Danio rerio: one gene and its partner. The protein of the gene in region 1 binds, or shares a complex with, the protein of each later gene. Links are inferred from orthologs where the notes say so. Each region holds a gene or a part of one and is shown in the gene's direction. Other genes may lie near its edges.

Region 1 (17,163 bases):
GCATACATGTGAGGGGATTAAAAGCTGCTGCAACTTTAGTTTAAATGGCTACGAATACATTTTTAACATATATTAATTGTAGAGACGAAAGACGCAGGCACTGGAAAAGAAGGGCAAAATATAAGTGTACATGTTTAGGTATGGTATCAAATAGAGTAAACTTTGAAGCACACTATTTTTTATATGCTTTTTTCATGCTTTCATTTTCACTTGTTTCCTATATGCTTACAGGACGTTTGGTAGTTTTATGATTTTTATTTAATTAATGTTTAGATTTTTTTGGTGAAAAATTTCTAAGAAAACAATTGTTAACACTACAGCGAGGTGTTATTATAGCTAGATTATAACAGTTTCGAGTGCACACAAAAACAAACCATATATATATCCGTGTTTGTGTATTTATATATTCATTCAGCACAAGCATACTCCAGAGTTAGCCCGGCGGGTTGTAAAACCATCAAGCTTCTTCCTGTGAATCTCTTACCGCCTCCGTCAACATTTTCAAACCGATCGCCGCCACACACTGAGCCAAAAATAGCCCAAACAGGAAGTCAGTCCACATCAGACGCACTGGCCACAGGGATGGAGCAAGCATTTACGATAGACTCCAGGAAACTATTTTATGCACGCACACCTTGTGCTTTGGGGTCAAAGGTTCAGTCCAGGCCTGTTGAAGGAAATGACACTGCTAAACAAGAGCTGTGAAATGAAGCTAAATGTTTTGCGGGTGTTGTTTAGGAACGAAGGTCTATTCTGTTATAAACCTTATATAGCATTCTAATTTCACAGAACAGAAGCAATGGTAAAGTGATGGTAGCAGATGAAATACTACACTGTTTTGTTGCATTTTCATAACAATTATGATTGCCATTGATACCGTTTTGATCGCATATGCACCTGAAATTTAATCTATGCGACCTCAAAATGTGTCTAGGAGCATTCTGTTATTAACCTGATATAACATGCTAATTTTGCAGAACAGAAGCAATGGTAAAGTATTGGTAGCAGATGAAATACTAAACTGTTTTGGAGTATTTTCATAACAAGAAAGGTTATCATTGATTCCATTTTGGTTGCATATGAGCCTGAAATCTATGCGACCTCAAAATATATTTTGGAGCATTTGTGCGAGTGCATAAAATTGTTGATGGGATGACAATTCACCAGAAGCCCTGGGGCTGGCTGACTGAAATTAAAAGTCTGTGTGCATACACCAGGTTGCAATAAAAAAAAAAAAATTATTATAATAATTAAAGTATTTTATAAAATTACAATAAAGTAGAAAAGGGGGCTTTTAAGATATTTTTTATTATTATTTATTATATATTATTACTGTTTATTTCAACATGAACCTACATTCAGAGGATTATTCATTTTTATTTTCCCCTAGCTCAGTTCATATGAACTACTCGTGCAAAGCTAGTGGGTTACATTTTATTTACATTGGGCCACTGCATCTGTTAAACTGCTGCACTGAGCAAGTGTTGGAGGGTGTGCTTATGTGACCATGTTTTTGTTGTTGTTTTTTTTTTACTTCATAGAGCTCAGTGTTTCTCTGAGTTCTTCCAAACTCGCTGCCATGTTGTTACTATGGCAAATGATTGGGAACTATGGAAGCACAGAGCGGAGCATTGCATGTGCTAAACCTGATTTATACTCTACGCATTCGCTAGTACGATTAAGTGCGCATGGCAGATGTGACATCATCGCAGAGTTTGCAGAAGTTTGCTTTGGGTGCGTGCGACCTCATTTCGACTGGTGGAGCGCACAGACTTTTTTGAGACTCCAGCGAACAGTTCGATTGGCGCCATATTTGATTTGAGCTGAATATGACTCACTTTGAAGAGATTTTGCCTGAAATGGATATGACTGTACAGAAATCTTTATTATTTGTCTATGTGTGATCATAGGGATAACCAGATGACCAATAATTCTTGGCTAGAAATTGCAACAGCAGTGGGAAAGAAAGTTTTTCTTAAAATGTTTGAAAACTTGAGGGATAAGTTTGTTAAAACCAAAAAGAGAGGCCATGGCAAAAGTGGAGACCCATGTGGTTTTAATAAACAATTAAAGAATGTTTTTCCACCATTCATAGGTTTAACACTGATGTATATATTACACTTCTGGATTTAAAACAATTTAATAGTTCCAAAACTAAAATGAGGAACATTATAAATTTGATAACTGGAAAAGAATAACGGTTACAATATATTGATGCACTGTTTTTCTAGGCTTTATTGGTGATAATGATCCGGCAAGTTGGACCATTATTGCCTTTTTAGCATATGAGGACACAAAGTCAGATGGTAATGTGTGAATTGTGGAATGGGCTAAATCTATTTAAAAAAAATAATAATAAACTTACTAAAAAAGAATAATAAGTGTGCTTTTTTTTTGGCTTTTATTCTTGGCATAATAAAACTATATTTGTGGAGCAAGCAATGCTCTCTTGTCATTGATATTTAACTTTAATAGGTAGAATTGTCCGAGATATGAACAAAAGCAAATGATGCATCAAAGTTTAATTTTAAAAATCTTGAATGGTTATAAAAATCTTTATATTCATTTCAATAATTTATAAAAATAATAAACAATATTAATGATATGACGTAGTTCCGTAAACTTCCTATTTCTGTTTATTTGTCTGATTTTATGCTCTGTTTCTTTCGTCTGCCCCCTGTCATTTTAAAGAATATCACAATGTCAAACGTGTCAAGTACATAAGCCTAGTGTTGTTACGTGAGATGAGCGCGCAGTCAGTGGAGGTCCGTGACCTGGTGCCAGGCAAAAGTATAAATCAGCCTTTAGAATGAAAACAGATGTTCATTGAAACAAATCAGTTTAATCTAAGAGTTAATCAATAAAATCGATTTATCATCCAACCTCAATTTTTGAAAAATTTCTATCATTTTCAGCCAATTTTTTATGAACCTATTATGTAACTGCACAAAACTTTCAGGAGTTATATGTAAATAGGCCTAAATAAATGCAAGTCCTTTCAAATGGTTTGTTCATGTCCAACTATTGATACACGCATCTTTATCTAAATGAAAGAGTGATGGAATTAAATAGTTTGGAAAATTCCTGACATATTATATGCTCATAGTCCCAGAAAGCCTTACCGCAGCTCCACTGACAGTGTGTGAGATCTGTGAGGGAAAGATGGATGGAAGCCTGTTACGGATGACACAGGACATAAATGTTTACTGCTAGTATAGTACATAAACGTGCCTCTCTCTATCTTTCCTCTTTCTCGTTCTTTTTCTTGGTCCATGATTTCCAGGATATTGTCTCTAATTTGCATGAGTCAGGGAGGTGGGATGACTGTGTGAGACACTAGACATTGTGTGTTGCTTGTCAAAGCAGCTAAATACAGTAGATCTGCAATGGATGCAACAAAGAGGCCATTGCTCACCACATATGTAGACAGCTGTGCAAGTATGCAAGCACAAGGATCTCTCCTGTCTAGTGTCTCGAATCATTGACGTCCTCCATGCTTCATATACTTCCTCAAGTGCTGTCACACTGCTGATGTACACAGTGGAAGGACATTTTTTGCATGTTTGTCACCTTTTATTGTTTCAGATTATTAAACTAATTTCAATATTAGTCAGAGATAACACAAGTAAACACATTCAGTTTTGAAATAAAGGTTTTTATTACTAAGGGAAAATTAAATGTAAAATAGGCATTTGTGGAAAAAGGTTTAGTAAATAATAACTAAAATCAAGTGTTTTTAAAGGGCCATGACACACCCCACTTTCGGTTTCAACCATTAGCCCTTATGGTAATCTGTAGGATTTAGGCAAACACAGCTGCACGGCAATGTGTCTAAATGTGAACAAACTCCACTGGTAAAGGACCCAGTCTGCCATTCCCCAATTCTTGTACAGCTCTCCCCAAAAAAATGCTTGCTGCACACAAACAGCTTTGCTGTATCGGCCCTGACAGGATTGTGGGGAAAAAATGCAACTAACCCCGTGGATCATGGAAACAAACCCTTACAACCCTTCATAAACGGCTAAATACTGCGTGCTGTGGGTCCGTGGACGAGATCTCACCCAGTCATCAACATAGGGTCAACCCAGAAGATGGAATGAGCTAACAAAAGCTCAAAATTGTTTCAGGTCAGGACTTTGACTAGGCCACTCCAAAGTCTTCATTTTGTTTTGGACTTACTTGTGGGCTTTGGATCATTGTCCTTCAGCAAACACTTTCACAAAGGGTTATTTAGTTTGGGATTTAGTTTTCCCTTAATAATAAAAAATGTATTTCAAAACTGCATGATGTGTTTACGTATAATCTTTGACTAATTTTAATTCAAGATGATCTGAAATTATAAAGTGTGACAAACCTGCAAAAAAAAAAGTCAGTTAAAAAAACAAATGCTTTTTCACACCACTGTAATTCTTGTGCGTATTTCTCTGCTTTTAAACTTGTAAACAATCTGCAATACTTTTGTGAGATTGAAGTGATAAAATACTGATCAATTCATAAAATGCGAATATCGGTTAATTCAATCTCAGTCCAATCAATTGGAGCATGCCTTCATTTTTTAGAAAATTTTTGGCAATTATTTGTTCATTTTTGTTTAGCTTTTTTCATAGTAACACTGGGTTTTTGTAACTGAAAAGGTATATATAGCTATGGGTGCTTTCACATCTGTAGTTCGCTTCATTTGGTCCGGACCAAGGGCAATAAATGATACATTGTTGCATTTTCTGCCGTCTTTGGGTCGTTTTCACACCACACTGCTGGCTTTGGTCCGAACCAGTTGAAACGAACGACAATGCAGTCACCTGACAAAATCCACATCTCTTATTGGCCAGATGTTGTTAAACATACTTCCTAAACTGCTTATTGATTGGTCAGAATTCACATGCGGGAAAATGCCAGTGAACTCCCGCAGGTAAACAAAACCTTTTACTCTGGAGGGACGACTGCGCTGGCAGATTGTATCTCTGCTTTAGACAAACTACATTACGAAAATGAAGCGCGGCCGTGGCTGGAAAACAATGTTTAATGCATCACTCGTCACTTCAGGAGGAGCCGTGAATTAATTTAGCTAAACTGCGACATGCTCATCTTGCGGAAATATTACCAACGATCCATTAGGTAATGTTTTCCCCTCTCTCTGTTGGTAAAGCGCTGTCAACAAATATTTTTCCTCCATAACCCATAATGCACAGCGCATCGGCCTACAGCAGCTGAATTAGTCCAAAACGTGCAGTACTTTTTGCGGTTGGACCTGTTTTAGTACGGATCATATTCTCACCACAAACGAACCGCTCCAGGGTCCGTTACCGAGACCACCTCTTCAAGCAGGTCTCGGTACGCTTATTTGGTCCGCTTTTGGTGCGCACTCGAGTACAATTGCTGCATTCTCACCTGCCCAAACAAACTGTACCAAAAGAGGAAACAAACTCTAGTGCGATTCAATCCAACTAAATAAGGCAGGTGTGAAAGCACCCTATATTTATATTTTAGGAACAGGACCTTTACAAGGAGATCAGCATATTTGAGTTTCTTTACACCATAAAGTTCTGCTTTATAAAACACCGCTGTATTTCATAATATTGAGATTTCCCTTTTCTTAAAATACATTTAAATGATGCATGCTTGTCTTTAAATAACACACCCTCTCAGCAAAAGTAGAAGCTGTTTATTCTTGTTTACAAAGCTGCTGTTAAGATCAGAGTGTTGGAAAGTGGCTTGAGTCCTTCTTTTCATTTAAATTAAAGGAATCTATTATGGCTATTACATGATCACCTTAAAAAGCCTTAAAAAAGTGATACTTATAGCACTTCACAAACATTCAAGGCTGTAACACAAAGCACAGTGAGCACCGCTAATCAAAAGGCAGGCTTAAAATGGGCTGATTTACATAGATGCGAGATGTAAATGGCTGTACTTTGTATAGTTTTACATATCTTTTTATTTTTATTCAGCTGTCTATTGGCTTTATAAGGGCCGCTCAGTGTGATTAACCAGTGATGCGTTCTCGGTTAAGTGTTGATAACGGATGTGCTCTAGTTCTCCTAGATTGGGGTCTGGACAGTTTTAGTGGTCACTTTAGAGGCACTATGGGTTCCTCAAGTCTCTCCTCACCCTTTCTATTACGGAATTCCACACATTCTTCAGTGTAATTTTGGCTACAGTCGCTCTCTCTTTCTCCCACCCTTATATACTCAACTGAACAGTTGTGCTCTTTCCTGAGAAGTGGACAGGGCTACAATAAGTCTTTATGTTCAGAGTGATTACATTGCCACAGAAGATATTCTTCCCACATTCCGCTTGATAAAATTCATTGGAAAACTGCTCGAGATAAATTAAATAAAATCCCCAAATTGATATTTTCAGCTGTCATTTGATTAGTGTTTATCATTGCACATTTATTATTTTTTTTTTCTAAAATAAATGATAAAAGAAATACTTTTACTCTGCAAGAATGAACTAAAATTATTGGTAGTGACTGTAAAGATGTATATGATGTTATAAAAGTATTTTATTCAGGATGATTAATCAAAATCGACATTCAGAACCTGTAATCAATCTAATTTTTGCAGGTCAATTTTTTTCAATTACATTCCCTTCCATGTGTGAAGTCACATGAGCCGCTCTGTTAAAGCTGTTTTATACACCTGCATCAAACGCATGGTTATGTTCCGGCGCAGCCTTTGCGTGGTCGCGAAAAAAAAACTACACATTGCACATTTGCATTACATTGACGATGAATGGAAGCTGTGCCAGATATGCTTTGAGATGGCATATTTTCTATTACAATAAAATTATTTACATTGAAAATTATATTTTCTACTTTTGAAAACGTTGAACATAATTAGTTTTGTTTTCAAAAGTTATTTGTTTTCCCATTTTTTTAAGAATAAAGGGACTGTCGATTTCAGGCAATGTGTGTTTTCATTTTAGTTGTTCAAAGATGTTTAATAAATAATCGTAGATAGTGTGTGTTTCCTTCAATTATTTTTAAATTAAGTAAAAATTGTATTGTAAAAATCTCTCACTTGTGATATGTGAGCATATTTACTGTACAAAACCTGTTAGTGAATCGTGAGGTCAAAAAAATAAAATAATCGTTTATTAATCGTAATCAAGTTGAAATGTTCATTTAATCGAGATTTTGATTTGAGGGCAATTCGCCCTCAAATCAAAAATAATTTATTATTATTTTAATAAATATATCTGTTTAATAAATCTGAATCACAAACACACATTGCCTATATTCACTGAGAAATAGATAAAAATATTAATTTTTAAAAAAATGGGATTTACTCAATTAAGCAGAGCACTGTATATTACAGATGTTTTTTTGTTTGTTTGTTTGTTTTTTGCCGTCAGTTTGACAAGTCAGCCACCCTTTGTTAAATAATTTCAAACCGCAATAAAATACCTCCACATTTTCCATACTTTTCTTTTCTGTTTGCAAAACACTTTTATTTACAATTTTTTTAAAGTCTTAAAATTCTAGATTCACAGACTTTATTTTTGACACATTATTTAAAATATGTATCTAAAAAAATAGTTATTAACTTCCCTTTCTTTTGTTGGTGGGGCAAGTGAAAATTTTGGCAGGGCAAGTAGAAATCTGAACCACTGGCCCGATCAGACCAGTGGACCCTGTATACAATAGATTTGTTTTTATATTTTAGCTGTCAATTTCATATAATAGCATGTTATGACATTAGTTTTATTTTGCTTTTAGGGTAATTTTTATTTTAGTTGAATGTGATATTACTAATAAGAAATGCTTCTTAAGCATTAGATCAGCATATCTTTATAAATGAAAGATTATGTGATGAAATGGAATAATTTCAGCTTTACCATCTCAGGAATGAATCACATAACAAAATTATTAACATCAAATCTGTGCTATTTCTCATGTATGAAAGTAAATGGCTGAAAAAGATGGTGTTACAGTGAGAACCTTTTGTATTTGAAAGTATCAGTGCGTTGCAGAATTACTGAAGTGTTTGTGTGACTGTACTCATGCAAATGTGTTGTTATTTTGAGCGCGCATGTAATATCGGCGCACTCGCACACAGACACACGCACTCCAGTTCCTGGAACAGTTGATAACGAGGAAGTGACAAAGAGGAAACGGGCACAGGTTCCAGATCATTTCAACAGCATAATCGATGCATTACAATCGTCCTACAATATTATCACATCGTCTGACCTCACGCTTCTAGCGTCCAGACATGAAATCAAAAACACGTTTTTCATCACTGAAATGATAAGAATGTCCTCGCCTGTGTGGACTTGTCTATTGTGAGGAGGCGAAACGCAGGATTCGGTGGTTTATATGTAAACAACAGCGACCTCTGCTGGAGACTATCTTATTTATTCATTTTATTCATTCAAACTGCACATTCAAGGTGTGTTTTCCTTCTCTAGTTACATAAAACCTGCATTTATTTGCATATCGAGTTGCATTATTCAGTAAATTGGTCATTTGTTTAAGTTTATTCTAGCATGTTAATACCCTTTCATAAACATTTGATGGTTTTCTTTTAATTTCCATTACTGTCATGCTAGTTTTTTTTTTTTTTTTTGGTAAATGAGCTTACTTTTGGTCGGCTTGTGTGTGTTTGTTTTTCAACAGCACTACACTAAAGATGCAGATGGACTCTGTACGCGACTCATCAAACCTAAAATCATGGAGGGGACTGTGGCAGCCCAGGATGAGTTCTCCAGAAGTAAGACCTCCCTTGAGTGTATTCACACATTTGTTTACATGTTTGTACAGGTTTAACCTTCTGGTGCTCCTTGTTCCAGAAAGGTAATTGTACTGGTTATCATCAAAGAAACTTGACTTCTTAGAGGGATAGTTCATCCAAAGTGAAAAATCTGTCATAATTTATTCGACTTGTTTCAAACCTGCGTTTTAAATGGTGATGTACTGAAAAACGTTGGGGAACTCCACCACGCAACTCGCTGCCTTCTTCCTCTGTAATATCATGACAGTTTGCCACCTATGGTTGCAAATAACTGTACAATGGGGAGCTTGTAAAGTATAAAAAACCTTCCCTACTTACCGCTGTAAGACTGTGATGGTTGGCTTTAGGGTTGGGGAAGGTGTAGATGTTAATAACTTTAATAGTTAGGTTAAGGGTTGAGTAAGGTGTAGACATTATTAACTATGATGGTTGGGTTAGTTAGTTTTGAAATATGGCTCTCTAAAATTTCAAGTTATGCCTCTGAGGTTCTACAATTTACGCCCCTTCATGTTACACCCCTATATATTATATTCAATAGTATATTTTGGTTTCTACTATGGATTTCAATGACATGCTTTATAACATCCCAACATTCTTCAGAATATTTAGCTTTGTGTTCTCAGAAGCAAGACCTCATAAAAATTTGGAACCACTTGAGTGCGAGTAAATGACGGGAATTTTTATCTGAACATTCCATTTAACATTTTAAAAATTAAATATAGTTTATTTAAAAAAAGTTTCATGCTACTAAAGAATATCCACCTCTAAATTGTGCCATTTATTTCTCTATAAATTCAAAATATTATCTATTTTTTGGGTTTATGTTGTAGTTAATGCTGAATATAAAAAATGTAAACCTGTATATTCTTTAAATAGTTTTACTGATCTGATTTTCAATCTTGTTTATTATTAAGTTACATTATTAATACTGAAGAGCAACAGAGGATTTAATTCCTGCATGGCTAAATTAGTACCCAATTTTCTTTCCCCGCAGGTGGCTGGGCTTTGAATAGAAAAGAACTGAAGCTTATCCAGACTATTGGAAAGGGAGAGTTTGGAGGTACGTGTGTTTGCTTTGAGAAAATTATTATTATTTTTTTTTTACTATATACATATACTGTTGTGCATAAATCGGTATACCACCTTTTGAAAATTAATTTTTATTTATTAATTTCTCAGTGAATGTATCCAATAATCTTTGGTTCATTTAAACATAACATTTTTGTTAAACAGTTTTATCCATTAAAATAATAGTTTGGTCACCAAACATTAATCTTTAATAAAAGTCTTTAACAATTGCAAGATGATAATAATACAGTACATTTAAATTCATGCGAGTAATTGCAAAAATAAATTTGCAAACTACAAAATTGCAACTAAATTATATATTTTTTTATGTTTCTCTTGAGTTTTTCCCCCCTGTTTATTAAAGTTGTATTTAATATTTCCCTCCAACTTTTTAATTTGGGTGTACACATTTTTGGACCATGATCTCAAGTTATTTTGTTAAATTAGCTGTAGTTTTGACTTTGGAACTAACTAATCTAATGTATATGCACAAATATATTATTGTAAAGCATCCTGTAGAAAAAATCCATTTAGAAGAGAGATCTGTTAGGGCTGTACTTATATATGCTGAGCACTGTATACAATTTTTAACATAAGAAATGCACTGTACTAAATATTTTTATTTTACATACCATATATACTATTGCTAACCAAAAATGAATCATATCACTAACCCTAATGTTGCTATCTCTCACATTTGATGCATTATTGTCAAATGAATGTCACTTTTTATCACTTATATTCTAAAGAAAATATTGTGTATATTTTGCATATTAATATAAGCGTTCTTTTGTTTTTTGTTTTCATTTTGTATTTTTTTATTGCAGTTTCCAAATTTACATACATATGTATGGTATATACGCACAGGTGTCAATTCCAGTTCCTGGAGGGCTGTAGCTCTACACAGTTTAGTTCCAACCCTGCTTTAACACACTTACCTGTAGGTCTCAAACAAGCCTAAGGAACTTAATTAGTTTGATCAGGTGTGTTCAGTTAGGGTTGAAACTAAACTGTGCAGAGCTCCGGCCCTCCAGAAACTGGAATTGACACCTGTGGTAAATAGGAGTTTCCACATTATATACACAAAACAATCAATCATCGGAATCCAGAAGTTGAAAGAAATTATAAAATACCATAAACATTTTTAATAATTACGGAATGTACTGTACATTAATAGTTACAGAATGTCCTGTACATTAATAATTCAAGGACATCATGAGGACAATCAAAACAATACTCTCATAATTGTTTTGTATGTCGTCAAAAAGAAAACAGTTTAAGTTTTGTTGCTTTTCAATTGCAATTCAATTGTGTACTTTTCTTAACACACATTGAGGCACCCAGTCTACCCCTCTTCCCCCTAAGCTATATACGTATGAAACTGTGAGGATGGTATTTTTAGCATATTAAATGTACATTTTTATTTATTTTTATTTTTTCATTAGGTATTGTTCTTCTCACTATCTTTCTTTTGTTTTCTCTCATTACAAGAAAATTATACACAAAATAAACATAATAAAAATGCACATCTTTCTGATTATACATCCTATGTTAAGTCTGGTCTTAATGGGTGAATACATTCTACTGATTTTCTCCATGTCTCATTAAACTCCTCAGTCTGTAAACAATGATTCATTACCTCTCCATATTGTAGTTTTCATAAATTATGTCAAACCAGTCACTAATTTGAGGCATTTAGAGTTGCAACCATTTTTGGTTTTGGCTTTTTTACAGGCTATCAGCAAAATATTCATCAGTTTTTTTTTTTTTAAATATAATTTTAAATGGCTAACCAAATGTTTAGATTGCTAATAAAATAAATGTTTTAAAGACTATATCACCAAATGTACAAAAATTAGAAATGTTACAATAAGATTTTCAGATTTGACCTAATTAATGATGTTTTCTATAATGTGATAGAAAAAATGCTCTACAAAGCATGCCAAGTGACCACTACTGGAATGATTGGCCTTAAATTTGGCCCAGGATCCAATTATCTTAAAAAAAATTCAATGCATACAGAATATTATAATAATAATATGAACTACACAAGGAGTCATTAATTCATTCAGACTTAATTATTCTCTTTGTTTATTTGTTCTTAGATGTGATGGTTGGAGACTACAGAGGAAAGAAAGTAGCGGTGAAGTGTATCAAACATGATGCCACAGCACAGGCCTTCGTTGCAGAGGCTTCAGTCATGACGTGCGTTCATCTAACTGACCAATTAGAATCCTAGTTATATTTAGAGTCATTGCAAAATATTCATATTCATGCGCTGCACTTTTACAGTCAATTACGGCATAATAACCTGGTGCAGCTGCTGGGGGTGATCGTGGAAGAAAAGGGCAGCCTTTACATCGTCACTGAGTACATGGCCAAGGTCAGCGACTTCCATCTGTTACCATCGAGAATAGCCAGAGGCATGTTTAATAGCCATATAAAAAGTGTAGAGTGTACTTAAGTGTTGTTGGTATGCCTTTTTCAGGGTAGTCTTGTGGACTATCTGCGCTCCAGAGGTCGTACTGTTATCGGTGGAGATCGTTTGATCAATTTCTCAATGTGAGTTTCTTTATTATTATTTTTAAGCCATGACAAAATAGCATAACTTCAGACTTTGAAGCATAATAAAATATAATATATTTTTTTTATAAAATTATAAAAGTTATTATAAAAACTATATTCTATAATAACCATATTTTTTATTAATTAATTAATTTATTAATTTATTTCTTTTTTACTTTATCTATCTATCTATCTATCTATCTATCTATCTATCTATCTATCTATCTATCTATCTATCTATCTATCTATCTATCTATCTATCTATCTATCTATCTATCTATTTACATTTTCTCCTAGGGATGTGTGCAAGGCAATGGAATATCTTGAGGCCAATAACTTTGTGCACCGGGACCTTGCCGCTCGTAATGTTCTTGTGTCAGAGGACAACATAGCTAAAGTCAGTGATTTCGGCCTCACCAAGGAAGCCTCGTCTACTCAAGATACAGCCAAACTCCCTGTTAAGTGGACTTCACCTGAGGCCTTACGAGAGAAGGTGTGCTTTGTAAATGGTTTGTTTTAATGGTGGAATCTAGTTGAAAATATCCTTTTATTAATCTGCACGTCTTTCTGAAACAGAAATTTTCCACTAAGTCGGATGTATGGAGTTATGGGATCTTACTGTGGGAGATCTATTCTTTTGGTCGGGTACCATATCCAAGAATTGTAAGTCCCTTCAAATCCGAAACACATTTTCCTGAATGTTCACTTGTAGCTGATACTGGTGATTGAATAGTTTTACTAATCTCTAAATAGGATGTATTAATTAATAGTTAATTTATAGTTATTATTATTATTATACTTTTATTAAAAATCATAAAATAAATAAAATAGTTTGTATAATAATACGTTTTTTTAAATTAATTTTTCAGTCTTTAAACAAAAGATTATTAAATGTGTCATTTTTAGGGCTTTACGATATTGAAAAATCAGACATTGCGATATTCACTTTTTGTGCAAAAAATATTGTGATATACTGTATCTACAATTTCACCAGAGGACTTGAAAATTGCTATTTGGAAAGAATTTATTCAATTTAATTGGGAATATTTTGTAGGGAAGTTTTTTACGCATAAAAATGTAATAAAATGTGAAATACAAGCATTGATGAATACAAAAGAGCAAAGGCAGAAGTGTGATAAGTGTTTTATGGTTTTCAGGGCATTTGCATCGTATCCAAGAACAGAATTTGAATAATCAAATGTAAAATAACACTGCAAGTCTTTACTGTATAAAAAATTTAAAAAGTATTATTTATTAAAGAAAACTATATGTGCCTGAATACTTTGAAATCTTTCAGCACTTAAAAATGTGCAAATTCTAAAATTTCACTCCATTATGGTTAAACTCTGCAATAACTTCACAATGCTCATGTGTTCTAAACTGTTTCTCCTGGTCAGCTATAATCATAACTTTACGTTGCATATCCTGCAATGTGACTATTGCGGATGTGCACATTGCAGTATCAATGCTGAGACGATATATTGTGCAGCCCTAGTCATAATATATTTAGCTCATAAATTATTCTTGCTATTAACAAACTAATAACTATGATGTTTGCCTCAATAAACTTCTAATTTGCTGTTTGATAGAGTATTTGGATTTAGGTGATAGCTAGAATTCTTGATGTCGAATAAGATCATGCAGAATATGTACTTTACATATAAACAGCCAGTATTTAAACAATAGGCAGGTAATAGTCCACCAGTTGGTACAAGTGTTGGCAATTTTATTATATTCAGAGTTCCGACCCTTCTTGAGTTTCAGACATACAGTATGGGTTCAAGGCCTGTAAAATACTTATAAAATTAATTATTGCTTACATTTATATAGCACTTTTCTGGACACCCAAACGCTTTACACATTTTCGGGGTGGAATCTCCTCATCCACCACCAATGTGCAGCATCCACCTGGCAGAGAGGAAACAGAGTGATGAAACCAATTATGATATGGGGATCTCAGTTTAATGTCTCATCCAAAAGATGGCGATCACCAAGCAGTATAGAATCCCTATCAATATACTGGGGCATTAGGACCCACACAGACCGCAGTTTGAGAGCCCCCTGCTGGCCTCACTAACACCACTACCAACAGCAACCTAGTTTTCCCATGTGGTCTTCCATCCATGTACTGACCAGGTACTCAGTCCTGCTTAGCTTCAGTGGGCGACCATGTGAAAGTTGCAGAGAGCTAGCTGCTTATACACAGGTCCTTAAAAGTGCTTGGATTAAATTTTAATTGAAATTTGTTTATGGATGGTAAATTGTGCTATAAAAAAAAAAAAAAAAAGAGAAATTCTTTAACTAAGAATCTTACATTTAAACCTTGTACAATAACACTGACAAATAATGCACATTTGATCAATATTTCTGAAACCGCATTTGAATATTACCAGCATTGAAATCAACAAATCTGATTAAATTTCTTTGACCATGACTTTTTAAAATGTTTGAAAAGTGTTTGAAAATGACTTGTAAGTATTAAGTGAACTGTTAATGCCCACATGAACTGGAAGCTGCAACCGTTTTTGTTTGTTTGTTTGTTTTTCTCCATATTGTGATGCAGTTCCTAGAGAAACTGAATATTAAATGAGAAAACAGTGGGCGTGGCTTGTTTTTTTCTACTGTGAGCTGATTGGATGTAGTAAAGTAGGCATTTCATTTAGAAAGATGTGGAAAAGTATTTAGGGAGAGTTATTACAACCTAACAGATTCCTCCTCCTCACCATTTCTGTTTGTTTTCATATCTGAGTTGAACCAGCGTGGTTAAATATGTTAGCTACGCCCAGTTGCTAAGATATACGTAATCTGAGAATAAAACAAACAGCAAGTGCATTTTCAGATTTCGATAAAAGATTAGAAGGGCAAACAATTTTTTTTTCTCATAATGACATGCACAGATGAATTGTCCATCCCAAAACAATCAATTGAGCTAACAAAATCATATGGTTAGTTTTGATTTCATAGGGACTTAAAAGTACATTAAGGGCTTTCATGGCACTACATATGCTAAGGCATGAATTACAGAGGTCCTTGAAACTGTTGTTCAGGAAAGCATGGGAACTCTGTTACATTAGTTTTATCTCATTAATTTTTTAGTTATTAACAAATACATCAATTTTTCAAATGTTATGTTTTACTTCAGTATAATTTCAGATTCCTACCAGTAGAGGGCACCGTTGTCTCCTTAAGCACATTTTGTTTTGTTTTATCCTGAGTCATTGTCTCTCTTTCTCTTCTTCCAGCCTCTAAAGGAAGTGGTCCCGCGTGTAGAGAAGGGTTATAAGATGGACTCCCCCGACGGCTGTCCTCCAGTGGTGTACGACATCATGAAGCAGTGCTGGACTCTGGATGCTGTGGTGCGGCCAAGCTTCAGAGACCTTCGAGAGAAACTGCAAGATATCATAACCAATGAGCTCTACCGATAAAAAGACTGAAGAAGAGTACAAACACCTCCATGGGACCATCCTCATTCAATCTGACCAAATCTACTCTTAAAGAGGTGGACTTGACAAACATCACAAGTTACGTTTGCAAGCGCGTTCTTTTCTTCTCGCTCTCTCTTTCTCTCTCTCTACATCTTTTACTTTGCTTGGTTTTCTTAATTTTGGGGAGGCTGGCCTTCTCTATACAACTCACCTCTTTTTGATTCATAAGATCTTCAGCCTCCTCTGACCTCATATGTCTTCATATTCTCCCCCATTATGGATTTTTGATTTGATGATGAAGTACTTCCTGCTAAAAATATGATGATAATAATCAGTATTAGTATAAAAAACACAACAAATATAATGAAAATTATTCACAGGACTTTTTGGCCCTGTTGATTCTGCAAAATCCTAAACCAAAAAGCAATAATTGGCACTTAGAGATCATATCCTCATCCTATTTTCATTTCCAGTAGCCGGTGAAATACATGAGGAAGTCTTTCTTCTATTTCACAGTGCCTTTATGCCAGAAGTCTGTTTTACCTCAGAGCTTGCCTTTTTTTGTTTGTTTTTTTGCATAATTTTTTATACGTTGTTTAAAAGCGCTTGCGTTTCCTGCTTTTTTGCATCTCATCTTTCCACACATGTCAGTCTGAGCCTCCAAACCGGAATGGATGAATATAAACATGGAATATAAACACATTTCAAATGAGATGTGGCTTGGGTGGAAGCCAGAATGCTTTAATTCAGTATAAATAAATAAATAAAATAGTAAGACAAAGAAACTATACTAAAAGCCCACAAGTACAGATTTGTGGAATATTTGTTCTATAAGTCATATGCTGATTATTATTTTTTTTTGGTCGTCGTGAAGGACTTGATTTTACTCGCAGTGCTTTATTTTTTCTTCTTTTTAAACATTTTTTGCTGCCACATTACAAAAGAAATCATTCCACCAGAACAGTTTGATAAAAAGAAAGTTAAACAAAAAATAAAAAGGCTGCCAAAAAGCTTGGAATGTGTGTTTATGTGCCGTTTAAAATGCCACTGTTGTGCTTTCATCCTGTATGTAATATCTCTGTTTGTAAATGTAAAAGGTTTGCAAAATATCAAAGATCAAAGTGCTCGATAAATGGAGTTTATGTCTCCCAAAAAAAACAACAGCAACATCCTGATTCTGAATTTCCTGAAATGAGTCGTCAGTAATTCCATTTTGTCTTTCTTGCACAAATAGCGACCGTTTTGTAGGCAATAGTGTTGGGAAATAGCCACTGTTTTGTAGGCAATAGTGATGGGAAGTTCGGATTATATTGCTAACTCAGACCTTTGAGTCTCGTGCAGCGAGGTGAACAAATCTTTTTTAGAGTCAT
Region 2 (17,163 bases), on another chromosome or scaffold:
TACTTATGCACTATTCTATGCCATTTTAAATCGTGTAACTAGTGCATTCACATTAAAAACTCAGAATAAGTGCACGTTAAATACCCGAATGGTGCACTTGTTCAACTGTTAAAAATATGTGTGGAATGATGGACACTTCATGCACTCAATAGCCACAGCTTTGCTCACATAGCGGAAGGGGTGGAGCTTTTGGGCACTGATGTTGGATTACTTTATTTATTTTGGTTTGTGTAAAGCAATTATATCGCCTCTCGATGGTGAATGTGGTTATACTCATGGCAGGTGTTAATTGGTAGTTTGGTCAATTATTTCACTAATTTGGCAACCAAACTGTTTCCCAGATGACGTTTGAATTTTTGCTTAGTAAAAAAAAAAAGTTAGTGTTTCATTTGGGAAGACACTACATTCATAAAATAATAATAATAATAATAATAATAATTCCTTACATTTCTGGACACTCAAAGCACTTTACACATTGGGAGAAATCTCCTCATCCACCACCAGTGTGCAGCATCCATCTGGATGATGCGACAGAAGCCATATTGCACCAGACCACACGCCACACACCAGCTGATTGGTGGAGAGGAGACGATGAAGCCAAATATGATATGGGGAGGCCATGATGGACAGAGGCCAGTATATAATTTGGCCTGGATGCCAGAGTTAAACCCGTACTCTTTTTCGTGGAACATCCAAGGATTTTTAAGGACCACAGAGAATCCTTGGTTTAACATCTTATCCGAAAGACAGCGCTCACTGAGCAGTATAGAGTCCCCTTCACTATACTGGGGCGTTAAGACGCATACAGACCGCAGTTTGAGCGCCCCTTGTTGGCCTTACTAACACTACTTCCAGCAGCAACCTAGCTTTCCTATGTCGTCTCCCATCCAGGTACTAATCAGGCACAGAGCTGCTCAGCTTAAGTGGGCAACCATGTGAGTTGCAGAGAGCTAGAAGCAAATATACTATGCTGCTTTACATACGAATGAACTTAACTGAGCGCAACATGCACGAGCGCAAAACCCCTCCCTGCCTCCTCCCCTGAATAAATATGACTCTACTTTGGCAAAACCAAACAAAAAAAGCAATAGCAAAAGCGAGCAAGAAGAGAAACTTTGAAAAGAATATGAATTGGAGGTGCTGCTTACGGAGGTAGACTGGAGAAAAACAGTGTTGTTTGCATATTGTCCTCCGGAATTAATAACAAAAGAAAAAAATAGAGTGGGAGAGTTTAGCTGATGTGGATTAAAAAAAGAAATAGTGTTATGTAAAAGTGTAAAATTTTGTAGCGTCTTCAACAGCATGAGTGGCGTAGCTCGTAAAACACATGGCAGCATATTTTTACAAGTTCGAGTATGAACTCGGTTCGAATCCAGTGTCTGATGAACTCAATCTTCTTTTTTTCTCTTGCTACATATCAGATTTTACCTACTCTTCATCACAAGGAAGACAAGTAGGAATCATTAATAAGTCTGTGCATCTTATTTTATTTGCACATTTATTTAATGGAAATGTTTCTGATTCACGTTTGCAAATTCTTCTTCAGATGGCGACTTTATAGCAATCTGTGTGCAGTAGATTGCTCCGATTACATTGATACCGGCGACCACTGCAAATTGCGCTTCAATGGTGAGCTGGTCAACTGTATGGTATGGAAACCTTATATACCTGCTAGACATGCAGATGATTAGTGAGGGCCTTGTTGGCCTCACTAACACTACTTTAGGCAGCAACCTAGGTCTCCTATGTTGTCTCCCATCCAGGTACTGATCAGCTTCAGTGGGCAACCATGTGAGTTGCAGAGAGCTAGCAGCAAATATATTATGCTGTTGAGTGTGTAAGTGCATAAGTACATAGTGCATAAGTGTATAGTGTGCCATTTGAGGCAGTTTTTTTTCTGCAACGTTATTGGAGTGGAAATGTGTATAATGATTCCAGACTGGCCACTGGATCTGGTGCCAACACTGGCACACTTGGAAGAGGCTGTAGTGAATCAGTACTAAAAAAGTCAGATGGTGGATCATGTACCTGCACCCTTCGGAGTAAACTGTCCTGTTTACTCTATCACCCTGTTGATCACTTGGAAAACCTGTTTGTACCCTTCACGTACTATGCTGTGATACACCTATCACTGTAAATCCTATTCGCTAGCTTGATGTAGATGTGTAATGGGGCAGCAGTGATTTGTCTTATCGGTCACATGTTTGTGTGTAACATGGGGATGGGGATCAGTGCGTTCCAGCTGTCCACTGTCTGACAGCTCACCCTCATGATGAATGAGACATCATGAGCATGTGTTTACAGGTGCATCGGTCTGTGTTTGAGCAAGACAGTTCGTCAGTTAAAGCTGGGATACCAATACTGACATGTGCATGCTGAAACACTTGCACACAGATTGTACACACTGCCTCATTAGCTCATGGTGTGGACTGTATGTTTAGTTATTTTAGCGAAGCAAGCAAGTCTGGCTTGAGCGGAGCGCCATGTGTGTCATTATGCATTGGTGCCACTGTCACTATGCTTGCATGATGGACTGAGGGCAGCTGTCTGTGATAAACTGTGATTTCAGCACATCAACACTCAGAAATCTCCTGCTTAAGGGGAGGACTTTTATTGTTAGCACTGATGCCTTGTCAAAGGATGCGTGGGAATGAAAACATGAGCGTTGAACTATAGCCCTTTGCCTCACGCATTTGCCATACTGTATGCAGGGTATGTTCTAATTTGAACTTGGTTGGGTATTCGGCCATTGGGGTGTTCAAGGGAATGTATGTGCTCAGTGTGAAGGACACCGCAAACAATATCAATTGGGAAATCGCAGGTTATCGCCACAAGTTAAAATTTTGTAAATTAAATTAAATTTTTATGATTTAGATTTTTATTTTCTTCAATTATTTAATCATACAATCAGTTTATACATCTTTACATCCTTTTAACATCCACTTCCCCCTCCCCAACAGCGGCAGTTACAGTAATTAGATGTTGCTATCATAAATCCAGTAAATACAGATAAACAACATTAATTTTCTTTTCGGCTTAGTCCCTTTAATAATCCGGGGCGCCACAGCGGAATGAACCGCCAACTTATTTAGCACGTTTCTACGCTGTGGATGCCCTTCCAGCCTCAACCCATTTCTGGGAAACAGATAACACACTCATTCACACACACTCTCATACACTACAGACAATTTAGCCTGCCCAATTCACCTGTACTGCATGTCTTTGGACTGTGGGGGAAACCGGAGCACCCGGAGGAAACCCACGCGAACGCAGGGAGAACATGCAAACTCCAAACAGAAACGCCAACTGACCCAGCCAAGGCTCGAACCTGCGACCCTGCGACCTTTTTGCTGTGAGGCGACAGCACTACCTATTGCTCCACTGCGTCGCCCAGATAAATAATAAAACTCAATAAATAAAGAAGCACACATAAATAAAATAATAATCGTAAAAAAAATAATTAATTAATTAATAAAACAACAATGCAATAATAATAATAATACATACATAAATAAATCAAATGAGATAATTACACTTTTACCATGTGTCTCACCACAGTGACCTTATTCATCCTTCCAAACTGTCAAATAATTTCCCAATCTTCTCTGATAAACATCCAATTTATCAAGTAATCCATATGTCATTTTTCATATGCTGCCACCTTCCCCAATTTGGTCACCCATTCTTGAAATGATGGTGGACCTGCTGAACGCCATCCCCTCATAATGATTTGTCTTGCAATCATAATACTTATTTAAATCTTCACACCAGACCCCAACACGAACGGGTCTCCCAGTACATGAATATTTTAGGACAAAACGATAAGCAGCATCCACAAACATTCTGAATGTAAGTGTGCACTTTAATCCAGAATTCCTGTATTTTAGAACAGGACCACAGGGTATGCATTAAGTTACCTTTTCTACTCTCACATCTCCAGCATTCAGCAGAGTCCTTCAACCAAAGCCTAAAAAGCTTACTCGGAGTCCAATAAAACGAATAAAATTTGAAAAATTTTATTAAACATACTCTTAAATATCTTGACATTATGTAATGTGAACTGGACGCTGACAACAGAGTAATAATCCAAACATTATACAGAGATGATCAGGCAAGCAACGGTCACAATCAGGAGCAAACAGATGTATGTAGGAAATCAAGTCGTAGTCATCAAAACAGGCAGTTGGTCAAAAAGCAGACAGCAGACAACTTAAACAAACAAACCAACAAGGTAAGGATCTAACAAGGCAAAGCAAGGCAAGGCAAGGCAAGATAAACGCATCGTAATGTTTACAAGACTTGCCAACCCCTGTGTGTTTGTGTGCTGACTTTATAGTGCGTGTAATCAGTTCATGAGCGGCTTCAGCTGTGAGTGTTTCCAATCAAACAGGATCTAGGGCGGGTGTGTGAGTGTATAACATTTAAAAAAAAAATTGTCAAGTACAGGGTATTGCAGCACAATTCCCTAAAATTTGTCAAACACGCATTCGAATCAATAATTGACTAATAAATATACTAATTTAAATCATGATAAACAAACAAAGTAACAATAATTAAAAAACATCAAACACTGTAAATAAGTTATCTACACAACAGTTTTAGAGCAAAAGGAATAAAGGAGAGTTCATGATGTTTAGTTTTATTTCTTAGTATAGCAAATGTCTTGTTTCGTCAAAGAAGGCAGGATGACAATGGGGCCTTAGGCAGGAAACAATACAGTGGTCATAAACTGTCATTGAGTATTTTGGTGAGAGTACGTTTGGGGGCTTAATCACACCTTTCAATCAGTGTTGAAAAAGTTGAAGTCGGAATACCTATTATCCAACAGCAATGCTTTTAGATCATCTCTAACTCCTCACAGAGAACATATATGCCTTCAAAGTAAAAAATATGTACACGAAAAATGCATAAAAGTAAAAAAAAAAAAACTATTACCAAACATATCCTTCCCAACTTTTGGTTTGATCTGACACAACACTATCCCATAAATTGTATTCATTGTACTCAAATAGCATTCAAACAAGTATATTTTAGGTTTGTCTACAAAAAAAAAAAACTGCATATGGTCTGAAGTACAATTCTCAAAGCTGTTTGTTAGAGAACTGCAATAACTGGTAATCAATAGTAATGCAAAGGTTAATAGTAATGCAAATAGTAATGCAATAGTAATTGAAGGTAATCAATAGTAATGCAAAGAAGCTACCAACTGCTGATTGGCCATGTACAGCTTATAAAAATGTATATATTCAGGGTTCTGTACCAAATGTACCTCTTTCAGCATTAGCCTTTATGACACAACAATCTCAAAAAAAGATTCAAATAAAAAATGAGTGTGTTAAACAGACTCAGAGAATTTGGACAACAGTTAAGAAAAAACTAAGAGGAATGGCAACCGTATCAAGAGTTATGTCTATAGCAGATAACCCTGATTTCTTACCATCCAAATGGGATGCCACTTTTAAAACATGGTGCGATAAGGGACTTATGATAATTGATCAGTTATTTAATGAAAACACTATGCACTCATTCTCTTATCTTAAAGACAAATTTATGTTGTCGTCAAGTGATTTCTTTCGATACTTACAATTAAGAAGCTATATTACAAATCATAAAGAAAAGGAAATATTCAAAAAAGTCCCAACTAATGTGGAACAGTATTTTATTGATATAAAAAAACAAAAAGGATTGCATAAAAGACACATATCACAGATATATAATAGCCTAATTCTGGATTCAACAGATAACACCCTTCAAATTAAAGAAAAATGGGAATCTGAACTTAATGAAAAAATTGAGGATGATATTTGGGAAAACATATGTTCAGAAGCTCATAAGGGGATCAACAGCCATAACTGGAAAGAGTTTGACTGGAAAACAAAAATTAGGTTTTTTAGAACACCATTGATGGTCTCCAAATATACTAATCGTCCACAGTCAGAGGAATGCTGGAGGGGTTGCGGAAATGTGGGTAATCATGCACATATATTCTGGGAATGTCCGAAGATACTTGCATTTTGGCAAGGGGTAAAGATTGAGATAATGAAAATTATGCAGGTAGATCTACCTTTTACTCCCCTGTTTTTCTTGCTTGAAGGGATACCCCAGGATATATATAATAAAAACCAGAGATATATACTACATATACTTTTACTAAGTGCAAGAAAGACCATAACAATAAATTGGATGAAGCCACACCCTCCAACAATAGCACAGTGGATAGAAAAACTTGATTGTATATATAGAATGGAGTATATGACTGCTCAACTTCAACTAAAACTGGATATTTTTAAACAAAGATGGGCACCTGTTATGTTGTACCTGAATAGGACATAGTATTTCTAGCTCCTTTGAAACTGAAAATATTGTATGTTTTTTTTTTTTGTAATTTTTTATTTACATCTGCGGCTACTGTCTTTTTTTATTTTTATTTTTTTATTTATTTATTATTATTATTATTTTTTGTTAATGACCGCTGCTGTCACTGAATGTTCTGTTCTGTAAAACGTTTTAATGTATAAAAATAAAGTTCAAAAAAAAAAAAAAATGTATATATTTATATATAATGATGCCATCACACACAAGACCCCTAATCTTTGTAACTGCCTGAGTGATGATGTTGCAGTGAGTTTAAATGCTTATGTTGATCATTTAATTCTTATATGGCCAAATCAATGCAAGAGGTGCTTTAATTAATATAGAGGGCCGGACAGAGACAAAGGCGAGAGTGAATTAGCAGATAAGCCTTATTGCAGGAAACATTTGTTATTTGTGATGAGGTCATCAGTGTCTTTGCGGACGGGCTATTAAATTAATTGCCTTGCTAATTAAACCAATATCAAAGCACGTCGGTTGAGCCCCTGATGCAGGTTCTGCGTAATCATATCAATGCAAAATACTTCAAACTCACAGGATGAGGCCGCTTCATTAAAACAGGCTTGAAACGGCGCTAAAACATTTTAAGATTAATCTTGAAGGGATTACAGCAAATTTCCCGCTTGACTGTATTCTCTATGTCAGTGAGGTGACTGAAGAAGATTGATATTCCTCTCTTACAGTCAAGGTGTCCGTTATTGATCTGCTGTAGGATTTACTTTGTTAATTGATGACTCAAGTATCGATTGCTATTGTAAATATACAATTGCTCGTGCTAAGAGAGAACCTGTACATTTGATTTCAATCAGTAACACTTAAGTAATGAATGAGTGGCTTCATTTTTGCATCAATCAGCCTTCGACACTAGCATGTGTCAGCTGAAGCGGGCTATTTCCTCTGCGTTTAAGTGTTCTGATTGAAAGTGTTTTTGACTAATGACTAATGACTTTGTTTCAATCATTGTCCCACAGTTACACTCCCCGCTGCTGACTCCAGAGCTTCAGGACAAGGTGTCTCCAGACAGTGAGGTAGGCTCATCCCCAACTTGGTGTTTTAGGGATGGGTGGTTTTTACAACATGCAATATGTATCATTCCTGTAAAATAGACAATATAGTATGAGATAATACCATTATATTGATATACAATAGTTGGTATGAAGACACAGAGAGAGCTCCTGTAGGGAATGTGCATAACCCAATTTGTCTTACATGAGTCATGCTTTATATTATGGGAATAACTAAGATATCATTATCATGCATAGTTTCATGTGGATTTCCCTTAAAAATGCTTTGATCAGATCAGCTGTATTTCATGTTTGAGATGTGGTGTTTTCCTCAGTGTGTGGCATACATTTCACATGCAGTTGCTCTGCATGTACTCTGCATTTGTACATTTTGGAAATGAATTGCCTTACAGGGCACCTATGATGAAAATCATCTTTTGTACGTTGTTTGGACAGAACTGTGTAGGTATAGTGTGTCCGCTGTCATATTAGGGTGATATAAACACAATAAGTCTCATTTTTAAATTTTCGGATCTTAAAATAGGATCCAAATCCCTCCCATTTTGAGGCTGACTGCAACGTGATGTAGGTGTGGTTTCCCTTCCACCAAATTGATTGACAGCCGCAAAATAACATGTCTCCATAATAACGTGTATAATCATATCAACAAGACAGGATGTGCGCAAAGCAACAGGGAGTAAAAGATCTGTTCAGCTCTCTGTGATCATCAATCATTAAATCTGATCAAGAATTAGAAGTTTATAATTGTTTTTAAAACGGTGTATGTTTGCAATGAATTATAGCCATTTACTTCAGCTTTACTTTATCACCACAGAAGCATGTCAGTTCAATTATAAAAGAAGATGCTTCAGTCCTGGTTTGTGGACTTTAAATCAGATTTATTTTGTACGTTAACATAACAAAAATCCATACAGCAGTGGATATTAATGTGTATCTTGTCGCATTTTCCATGCAAAAACAGTGCATAGTTAAATGCACTTGCCTTGTGTGTGTGTGTGCGTGTGTGTGTGTGTGTGTGTGTGTGTGTGTGTGTGTGTGTGCGCGTGCGTGTGTCTGTGTGTGTATGCGTGAACTTTGTAACAACATTGTGTGTGAAAGTGTCATCGTTGCAGAAAGGCTTGAATTAACTCCACAACAAATACATCAAATAATCATTAGGAAAGTTCTTACTGTAGTATTTCTCACAAACGTTACGTGAGATCTGCTTCCTTCATGTCTGTGCTGTGCTGTGCTGTTTTTCTGAGATTTTATGAGATGAGTTTATGAGATTTGTTGACCTGTTTAGCATGCGCACGTATAGAGTTTCATGCCAGAAATTTCCTGTTTTCATACACTCAAAAAAAAGACGTTTGTTGTTTGTTATAACTATTTTATTAAATAAGCTGAAACAACACAATGTTGGATTTTTTGAAGGTGACAATTTAATTGTTTTATGTTTAATCTACTGAAATGTGTAAAAACTGCAATGCTAACTTAATTCCTTCATGTTATCCAAACACAAATCGATTGTGCGAAACCATTTTACAGTGTGTCCTTTACAGTGTGTCCTTTAATATGAACATTTATATTACTTAATTTGAACATGAATGTTTTATTGAATAACATTGAGCAGGATGTAAACAAATACCGATTTTATCTAAAATCCACATATAACAATGTTACTCTAAAAAATTTTGCCAATATCACCCAGCCCTACTTCCATTTTATTTATTTTTTTTTTACCACAAATAATTATTTGTATATAGGTAGTGCACTACATCAAGTCTGCATTGTAAAGATGTCCAATTCTCTGTTACATTTCCCTTTCCAGTTATCAGACTTGTACTCCACGGTTGCGAAGAATCCTGTAAAGGAAGCAGAGAACGACTACAGCAGCATTGGAGAGATCAAGGGAATTATGCCGGAGTCGACTTCCAGTGATCTTTACGCCACGGTTGGAGATGAATACTCAATGGTTTCTGGCTCACAGCCTTCAGAGGGGCTTACAGAGAATGCAGAACCCGGGTACGAGACCATCAAGATCTCCAAAGCGTCTGAAGAGGCTCATCTTGGCAATGGGATAGTGGAGCCTGACTACGAGAGTGTGGGGGAACTGGGTCTGAACGGGGACATCTCTCGTCTCTGACTACCCACTTAAGGACTGCGAACACTGAGACAACTTAAGAATTGAAATGTGTGTGGCATCATGAGTATAATGCACTTAATCTTTCCTACAGCATTTATGCACCCCATTGTTTCTGAACATTATCTATTGAAAGGCTTCATCCAACACAGGAAAAGAAGCACTCTTCTTTATGCTACGTATTTTTGTGAATATTTGGGTACGAAAAATCCAAGATGTCCCTTTTATATAAGTTGGCATCACTTAGGATGGACATTTCTACATCACTTTCTTGCTAGAGCCATTGTTTCATCCCTGCTTTATGAAATAGCCTGCAGTAAGGATTTAGCAAACACAGAAGCAGCATCTCAACTAGAGTTTGTGTGTTGTTAATGTCCCTGAAAGCAACAAAGACTTTAAATGATTTCTCTCTACAGCATATACATCCATTCAAACGGCACATTCTCATTCATGTGAAAAATAATAAGGAAATGCAAACAGATCTGCTCTATCAAATGATGTAGAGATGTTAATATAGTTTAAAACATTCTTATATCCTTCTTATAAACAAAGGAAATGTGCTGCTAGACCAAAGATACAAAATTAACATTAATTATTAGAGATAATAAGCAAGAACTTACACAACCTGAAATTAATTTAGTATTATTAGTAATCTTATTCCAGATACTATTGATACTAATTCACATATCTAATTTTTGCATATCCTAATTAATATTCATAAGCTTAGTCTTGGCTATTTGGTGACATAATAACCAGCACATCTGCATCTGTGTAACCCCATTTCCCACATGCCCTCACCACCTTTCAAAACAAAGCGCCAACAATGGTGGTGCTCTTATGAGGAATATTTTATTCATAACACGTACTAGTGGTTTCCACGCACTTGCATGCTGCACCTGCTGTGAGCTTCCCCTTTTCACGTGATTCTAGTTGAGCAACTTACAGAGTTGCATCCTTGTATAACCCCGAAAAGCGAACCAATCAGAAATCAGCAACAGCAGACCTCTCAGTTCAGGCCATTAAGGAACCGCATCCATTCGAATCAGAACTGCTGGAGCATTTAGTTTCACAAGTGCGTAACACATATCAAGACCCACAAGAGGAACATGTAGCCGTCACGCTGAGCTGTTACACACGTTTTATAAACAGTGTGTCAAATCACAGGCTCAGGAGAGGAAGTGACCTTTTAGGTACGCAAAGTTGAGTGCACTTGTTTATGAGTGTGCCAAAAGGGTATTAACGAAACGTTGGCCATTATCTATTGCTGGTGTGAGTTCGAATCATTTTAGTTGTGGTTTTATTAAGCTGTGTTGCTTCAATATGTATGTATTTTATTATTATTATTAATGCAGCTGTATTGATGAGTGTATCAGATACGTTATATATTTGAGATATATCTTGGTTTCTACATGTAATAAGGTACGCAACATTTCAAATGGCTGAAAAGCACAGGGGGAAAGAGACAACAAGGTACTGCTGAACTGCAGCTTTGCCTGGCAGCTTAGCAAATGTACTTTATTATCAGGGTAACACTTTACAATAAGGTTGTATTAGTTAGTGCATTTACTAACATGAACAAAGAATGAAAAGTATAATTGTTACAGACATGTTAGTTCAGTTGTTCATTGTTCATGTTAACTCTCACTGCATTAACTGATGTTAACAAGCATAAATGTGGATGTTAATCTTGCATTAGTAAATGTTAAACTAATATTAATAAATGCTATACAAGTATAGTTCATTATTAGTTCATGCTGCTGAATACATAAACTAATGAAACCTTATTGTAAAGTGTGACCATTATCAGGTATGCAATTAGCTGCCTTTACATTAATGTAGCGGTATAATCAAAAAGCATAGCGCGTCCAGACGCCGCCTGGGATGAATTTCATGCCAAGAGACACTTGTAAATATCCAAACTATCCTATTTTGATCTGTTAAATTATGTCACTGTTTCAGTATGCTTCTGTAATAATTGCCAAGCGCTATCAAATGACAGCACGAGGAACTTTTAGAGTGGGTTAATACTAAAGAAACTTTGACAGTAATTGGAATACATACATTTTCCAGATGCATTTTGTAATTACAGAACGTTTTATGGAGGTTTATTACAGTTTAAAAAGCCAATGATCTGTATTGCTTCGGATTTCTTAAGCAGTGTTTATAATGTGAGGGTTTAAATAAGTGTTTGCTTGTAATGGTACGTCGTGTTGGTACAGGGTTCATATTGCTGAAGATCCTTATTTTATTTAATATCATGGTTAAAAAAAAACTGTCTTGTTTCTCTCTTTAACCAAATTCTGGTGTATTTAGTTGTAAATATGAATTTTGCATTTGTTCATTATTTCATCGTAATCTTTGTAATGTGGTATTTGCTTTATTAAACAATATATAGTCATGCTGGACTCAAAATACATTGTCTGTGTATATGTTTGTCTGCATTTATCATTTACACATCACTGTAAATTGTTGTAAACAGTTCTATATGTAGGTGGCACGGTGGCTCAGTGGTTAGTACTGTCGCCTTACAGCAAGAAGGTCAATGGTTTGAGTCCTGGCTGGGCCAGTTGGCATTTCTGTGTGGAGTTTGGATGTTCTCCTCATGTTCACGTGGGTTTCCCTCACATTCCAATGATGTGATGTACACTAACTGGCCACTTTATTAGGTACAGCTGTCCAACTGTTTGTTAACGCAAATTTCTAATTAGCCAATCACATGGTAGCCACTCAATGCATTTAGGCATGTAGACATGGTCAAGACGCTCTGCTGAAGTTCAAACCGAGCATCAAAATGGGGAAGAAACTTTGAAAATGGCATGCTTGTTGGTGCCAGACAAGCTGGTCTGAGTATTTTAGAAACTGCTGATCTACTGGAGTTTTCACACGCAACCATCTTTAGGGTTTACAGCGAATGGTTAGTAAAAAAAAAATAATAATAAAATGAATAAATAAATAAATAAATAAATATATATATATATATATATATATATATATATATATATATATATATATATATATATATATATATATATATATATATATATATATATATATATATATATATATCCAGTGAGCAGCAGTTCTGTGGTTGATGCCAGAGGAGAATAGACTGGTGAGCATCTTGAGCATCTTTGAATGCACAACACATTGAACCTTGAGGCAGATGGGCTACAGCAGCAGAAGACCACACCGGGTGCCACTGAAGCTACAATTCTCACACAGGCTCACCAAAATTGAACAATAAAGATTGTAAAAACGTTGCCTGGTCTGATGACTCTCGATTTCTGCTGCGACATTCGGATGGTAGGATCAGAATTTGGCATCAACAACCTGAAAGTTTGGATCCGTCTTGCTTTGTATCAATGGTTTAGGCTGCTGGTGGTGGTGTAATGATTATTTTCTTGGCACACTTTGGGTCCATTAGTACCAGTTGAGCGTGTCAACGCCACAGCCTACCTGAGTATTGTTGCTGACCATGTCCATTCCTTTATGACCACAGTGTACTCATCTTCTGATGGCTACTTCCAGCAAGATAAGGGGCCGTCATAAAGCGCGAATCATCTCAGACTGGTTTCTTGAACATGACAATGAGTTCACTGTACTCAAATGGCCTCCACAGTCACCAAAGCTCAATCCAATAGAGCACCTTTGGAATGTGGTGGAACGGGAGATTGGCAACATGCATGTCCAGCTGACAAATCTGCAGCATCTGCGTGATGCTATCATGTCAATATGGACCAAAATCTCTAAGGAATATTTCCAGTACCTTGTTGAATCTATGCCATGAGGGATTAAGGCAGTTCTGAAGGCAAAAGGGGATTAAACCTGGTACGTGTAAGGTGAACCCAATAAAGTGGCCGGTGAGTGAAAGTGAGCTGGGTAAACAAAATTTTTCATATTGTATGAGTGTGAATGTGAAAGTGTGTGGGTGTTTCCCAGTACTGGGTTGTAGCTGGAAAGGCATCCGCTAAAACAAATGCCAGAATAGTTGGTATTTCATTCCACTGGTAGCGACCCCTGATAAATAAGGGATTAAGCTGAAGGAAAATGAATGAATGAATTCTATATTTACATGGCCTCGCACTGAATTCAAAGTAATACACCAATAGGCAGTATATAATGTTGATATTTAATCTGTCGATACATCCTACTAAACTTAATTCTCAAGTGTAGAAAAACAATCTGCCATAAGACAGGTTTATTATCATGTCAGCGTGCTGGTATTAAGGGATTTAAAGAACATATTTCACTGTACAGCATACTATTGATTGAATCTGTGGTCAGAGCATTGTGCATTTTGAATGCAAGTATTCCATAAGTGAGCGCTGGCAAACAGGTGCATTTAATAGATTTTTTACCCTTCATAGGTATAAATTGTTTCTTAAAAGATGCCATGCCTTAAGGGGTTATTCTTATAGACAGTTTGTTATAAGCGATTCATGCCCACAAGCGCACAGTAATTATATTATACATTGAGAGGCCATGCGGGAGGAGCGGCTCTTTAAAATGATCAATGCTACAATCGATTCAGAACTCAAACTGAAGGCACACACAGCATATACCTGCACTTGTTTGTGTTTAACTGGACATAAAGGTAAAAATGTCCCTCAATACTTTATAAAACTGCAGTCTCTACAAATTCTACAATTAAAACTGTATTGTAATGTAACAATATTTTAGACTGCTGGGAACATATGCTTAGATAATAATGATTTTATTCATGTTCAGTTTCTTAGAGACTATTATTTTGCTTCAATACCTAGTTTTTTTTTTAATCTTAAAGAGTTTTACATTTATACTTGCATTTAATAAATTAGCAACAATCAGGTTTCAGCTAAAAATAAAATCTGCTTTAATGTTATACTGATGAAACAAGCTCCACCAACATAATGGTTAGTAAATTAACAGCAAATATTTATTTTGGGGTGAACTATAGCTTTGAAGCTTTATAATGCACAAGATTAGAGGATTACATCTGAAATGTTGTCAGTAAATGCAATATAAATTGTAGAATTAAACCTGTGATACTGTCGGTCCCAATAGCCTTGTGGTTAGTGCGTCGACACATGGTACCGAGGTGTTCATGGTGACCTGAGTTCAATTCCCAGCTCAAGGTCCTTTGCCGACAATTCCCCAATCTCTGGTCCCCATACTGTCCTGTCTCTAAATCTATCACAATAAAGGTGAAAACCCCTAAAAAAAATACATTTAAAATAACTGTGATACTGCAAAAATATGTTCCCTTTTGAATTATGTTGCTTTTAGTACTGTTATTACTGCAATTGATAGTTAAAACATTCAACAGTAACATTTTCCTTAAACCAGGGCTTCTCAAACTTTTTACCATGCGACCCCAAAATAAAAATGTCAGTAACTCGCAGCCGGGAGCAGGGTGGCACAGTTGTAGCACATTTGCATCATAGCAAGAAGGTCACTTGTTTAAGCCTCAGATTGGTCAGCTGGCGTTCCTGTGTGGAGTTTGCATGTTCTCCCTGTGTCCCCGTGGGTTTCCTCTGGTGCTTCGATTCCCCCCACAAGTCCAAAGACATGTGGTACAGGTGAATTGGGTAAGCTAAATTCTCAGTAGTGTATGTGTGTGAATGAGAGTGTATGTAACCCAGTGATGGGTTGCAGCTGGAAGCGTTTCCGCTGCATAAAACATATGCTGGAAAAGTTGGCGGTTCATTCCGCGTTGGCGAACCCAGATTAATAAGGAGACTAAGCCAAAAAGAAAATGAATGAATGAATAACTTGCGGTCCCCATTTTTCTTGAAGAAGGTTATAAATATACAGATTTTGCACACACAACAATAGGCCTATATAAACATAAGCATACTGACACCTCAAAAAATACAAGTCTTGTCAGCACCAATAGCCTTGTGGTTAAGTGCGCTGACATATAGAATCTCTGCTCCCAATATTTTCCTGTCTGTAACCTCCACTGTTCTATCCTAATAAAAGGGGGAAACCCCCTCTAAAAACAACCCTATAATTGTTTTATAGTCATTTGTTAATTTGTTTAATTTTTTATTAACCTCAAATCTCAAATCTGATTTTTAATGTTTCAGAGTGCCATAAAGGTTGGCAGAAAATTAATGTGTGGTTAATCCAAACACCAGGTATCGTAATCCAATGGGAAAAAATGGAAAGGATGATGGCTTTTTATTTATATGTTGTTATTTTTTTAATGTACAGTTGAAGTCAGAATTATTAGCCCCCCTTTGATTTTTTTTTATTTAAATATTTCGCAAATAATGTTTAACAGAGCACAGAAATGTTCACAGTATGTCTGATAATATTTTTACTTCTGGGGAAAGTCTTATTTGATTTATTTCAGCAAGAACAAAAGCAGTTTTTTTATAAAATAAAAAAATAAACATTTTAAGGGAGAAAGGTAAAATATAGAAGTGGTGTTTTACTCTTCTCAAGTCTAATTTGATTGTAAGTAGTTGTACTGTAGGTAACAGTTGCCACCTTTTTGGGCAATACAGTTACTTTTAGCATAATACATTTCATACTGGCAGCTAGCTCTTCGTAACATGGTCACATGGCCCCACTGAAGCTATGCATGGCTGCGCCTGGTGAGTAACTGGATGGGAGACCACATGGGAAAGCTAGGTTGTTGCCAAAAGTTAGGGAGGCCAGCAAGGAGAGCTCAACTTGCTGTCTGTGTGGGTCCTAACGCCCCAATATATTGATGTGACCCAAGGTTAAAATCTGAGGATGTCCTTCGAAAAAGACTATCCATCCTGGCCAAATTTACCCACTGCACTGGCCTCTGTCCATCATGGCTAACCATCCTCATATCATAATTGGCTTCATCAATCTTCTCTACACTAATCAGCTGGTGTGTGGTCTGCGGTCTGGTGCAATATGGCTGTCGTTGCATCATCCAGGTGGATGCTGCATACTGGTGGTGGTTAAGGAGATTTTCTCCAAAAATGTGTAAAGCGCTTTGAGTGTCTAGAAAAGCGCTATATAAATGTAAGGTATTATTATTATCAGTAAACTCTGTGAGGATGCTGTTAGTTTTAGTGCTTTACACTGATATTACTCGTCATTTAACATTTTTGGCCGTACCTGATGTCTGCTTGATAAGGTCTATTATTGAATATTCACACTTCCCTATGACAGTTAACCAAAAAAAAAAAAAAAAAAAAAAGCATATGTGATACAATTAGCAGATCCGTATTTATATTATTCATAAAAATAATTTGAAAAGTACCCAGATTACATGTATTCTTGAGAAATCCGCATCTAGGGAACAGGAGCCACAGGAGAGTGAATGGTAGCGATACCAGAAGTAATATATTGTAAAGTTCTGTTTCAAATATGGTACCTACTGACAGGGATTTCAGGTGCAGCCTACATGTTTCACTGATCAAATTACGATATTCATTTATGACTTATCATTTATGACCCTAGGTAGGGCTGCACAATATATTGTTCCTGCACCAATATCACAATGTGTGTATCAGCAATAGTCACAACACAGGCTTAGATTATTTAATAAAGATTAATGATATTATTATTTTAAAATAATTTTTACAATGACCATGATATTTTATGTTTGATTGTGCTGCTATTATACTGTAATTAATGATTTTTGCAAACGGACTGCATAGAAAAAGACTTGATCATTCC

What was found.
Region 2: the proteins of csk (region 1) and pag1 are in contact, whole or in part, in an NMR structure (PDB 2RSY), measured with the Rattus norvegicus proteins. The link is inferred for Danio rerio from reciprocal best matches to the Homo sapiens genes CSK and PAG1. Residues at the interface, in NP_001025210.1 of Rattus norvegicus: Thr88, Arg89, Glu93, Arg107, Ser109, Thr110, Asn111, Tyr112, Thr117, Cys122, Glu123, Lys125, Val126, Glu127, His128, Tyr129, Arg130, Ile140, Asp141, Tyr156, Asp161, Gly162; in NP_071589.1 of Rattus norvegicus: Phe291, Ser292, Leu294, Tyr296, Lys297, Ser298, Arg299, Glu300, Glu301, Leu305, Ile310, Met313, Tyr314, Ser315, Ser316, Val317, Asn318, Lys319.

What each region holds. Positions count from the first base shown.
Region 1 is NC_133200.1:21,860,972-21,878,134, reverse strand, and holds the end of csk (tyrosine-protein kinase CSK), read left to right. Parts: intron 1-8,620; coding exon 8,621-8,714; intron 8,715-9,729; coding exon 9,730-9,795; intron 9,796-11,908; coding exon 11,909-12,008; intron 12,009-12,095; coding exon 12,096-12,186; intron 12,187-12,291; coding exon 12,292-12,365; intron 12,366-12,665; coding exon 12,666-12,861; intron 12,862-12,944; coding exon 12,945-13,031; intron 13,032-15,610; coding exon 15,611-15,793; 3' UTR 15,794-16,811; downstream 16,812-17,163. UniProt on the Homo sapiens protein: Non-receptor tyrosine-protein kinase that plays an important role in the regulation of cell growth, differentiation, migration and immune response.
Region 2 is NC_133194.1:34,496,757-34,513,919, reverse strand, and holds the end of pag1 (phosphoprotein associated with glycosphingolipid-enriched microdomains 1), read left to right. Parts: intron 1-7,343; coding exon 7,344-7,400; intron 7,401-9,207; coding exon 9,208-9,522; 3' UTR 9,523-11,931; downstream 11,932-17,163. UniProt on the Homo sapiens protein: Negatively regulates TCR (T-cell antigen receptor)-mediated signaling in T-cells and FCER1 (high affinity immunoglobulin epsilon receptor)-mediated signaling in mast cells.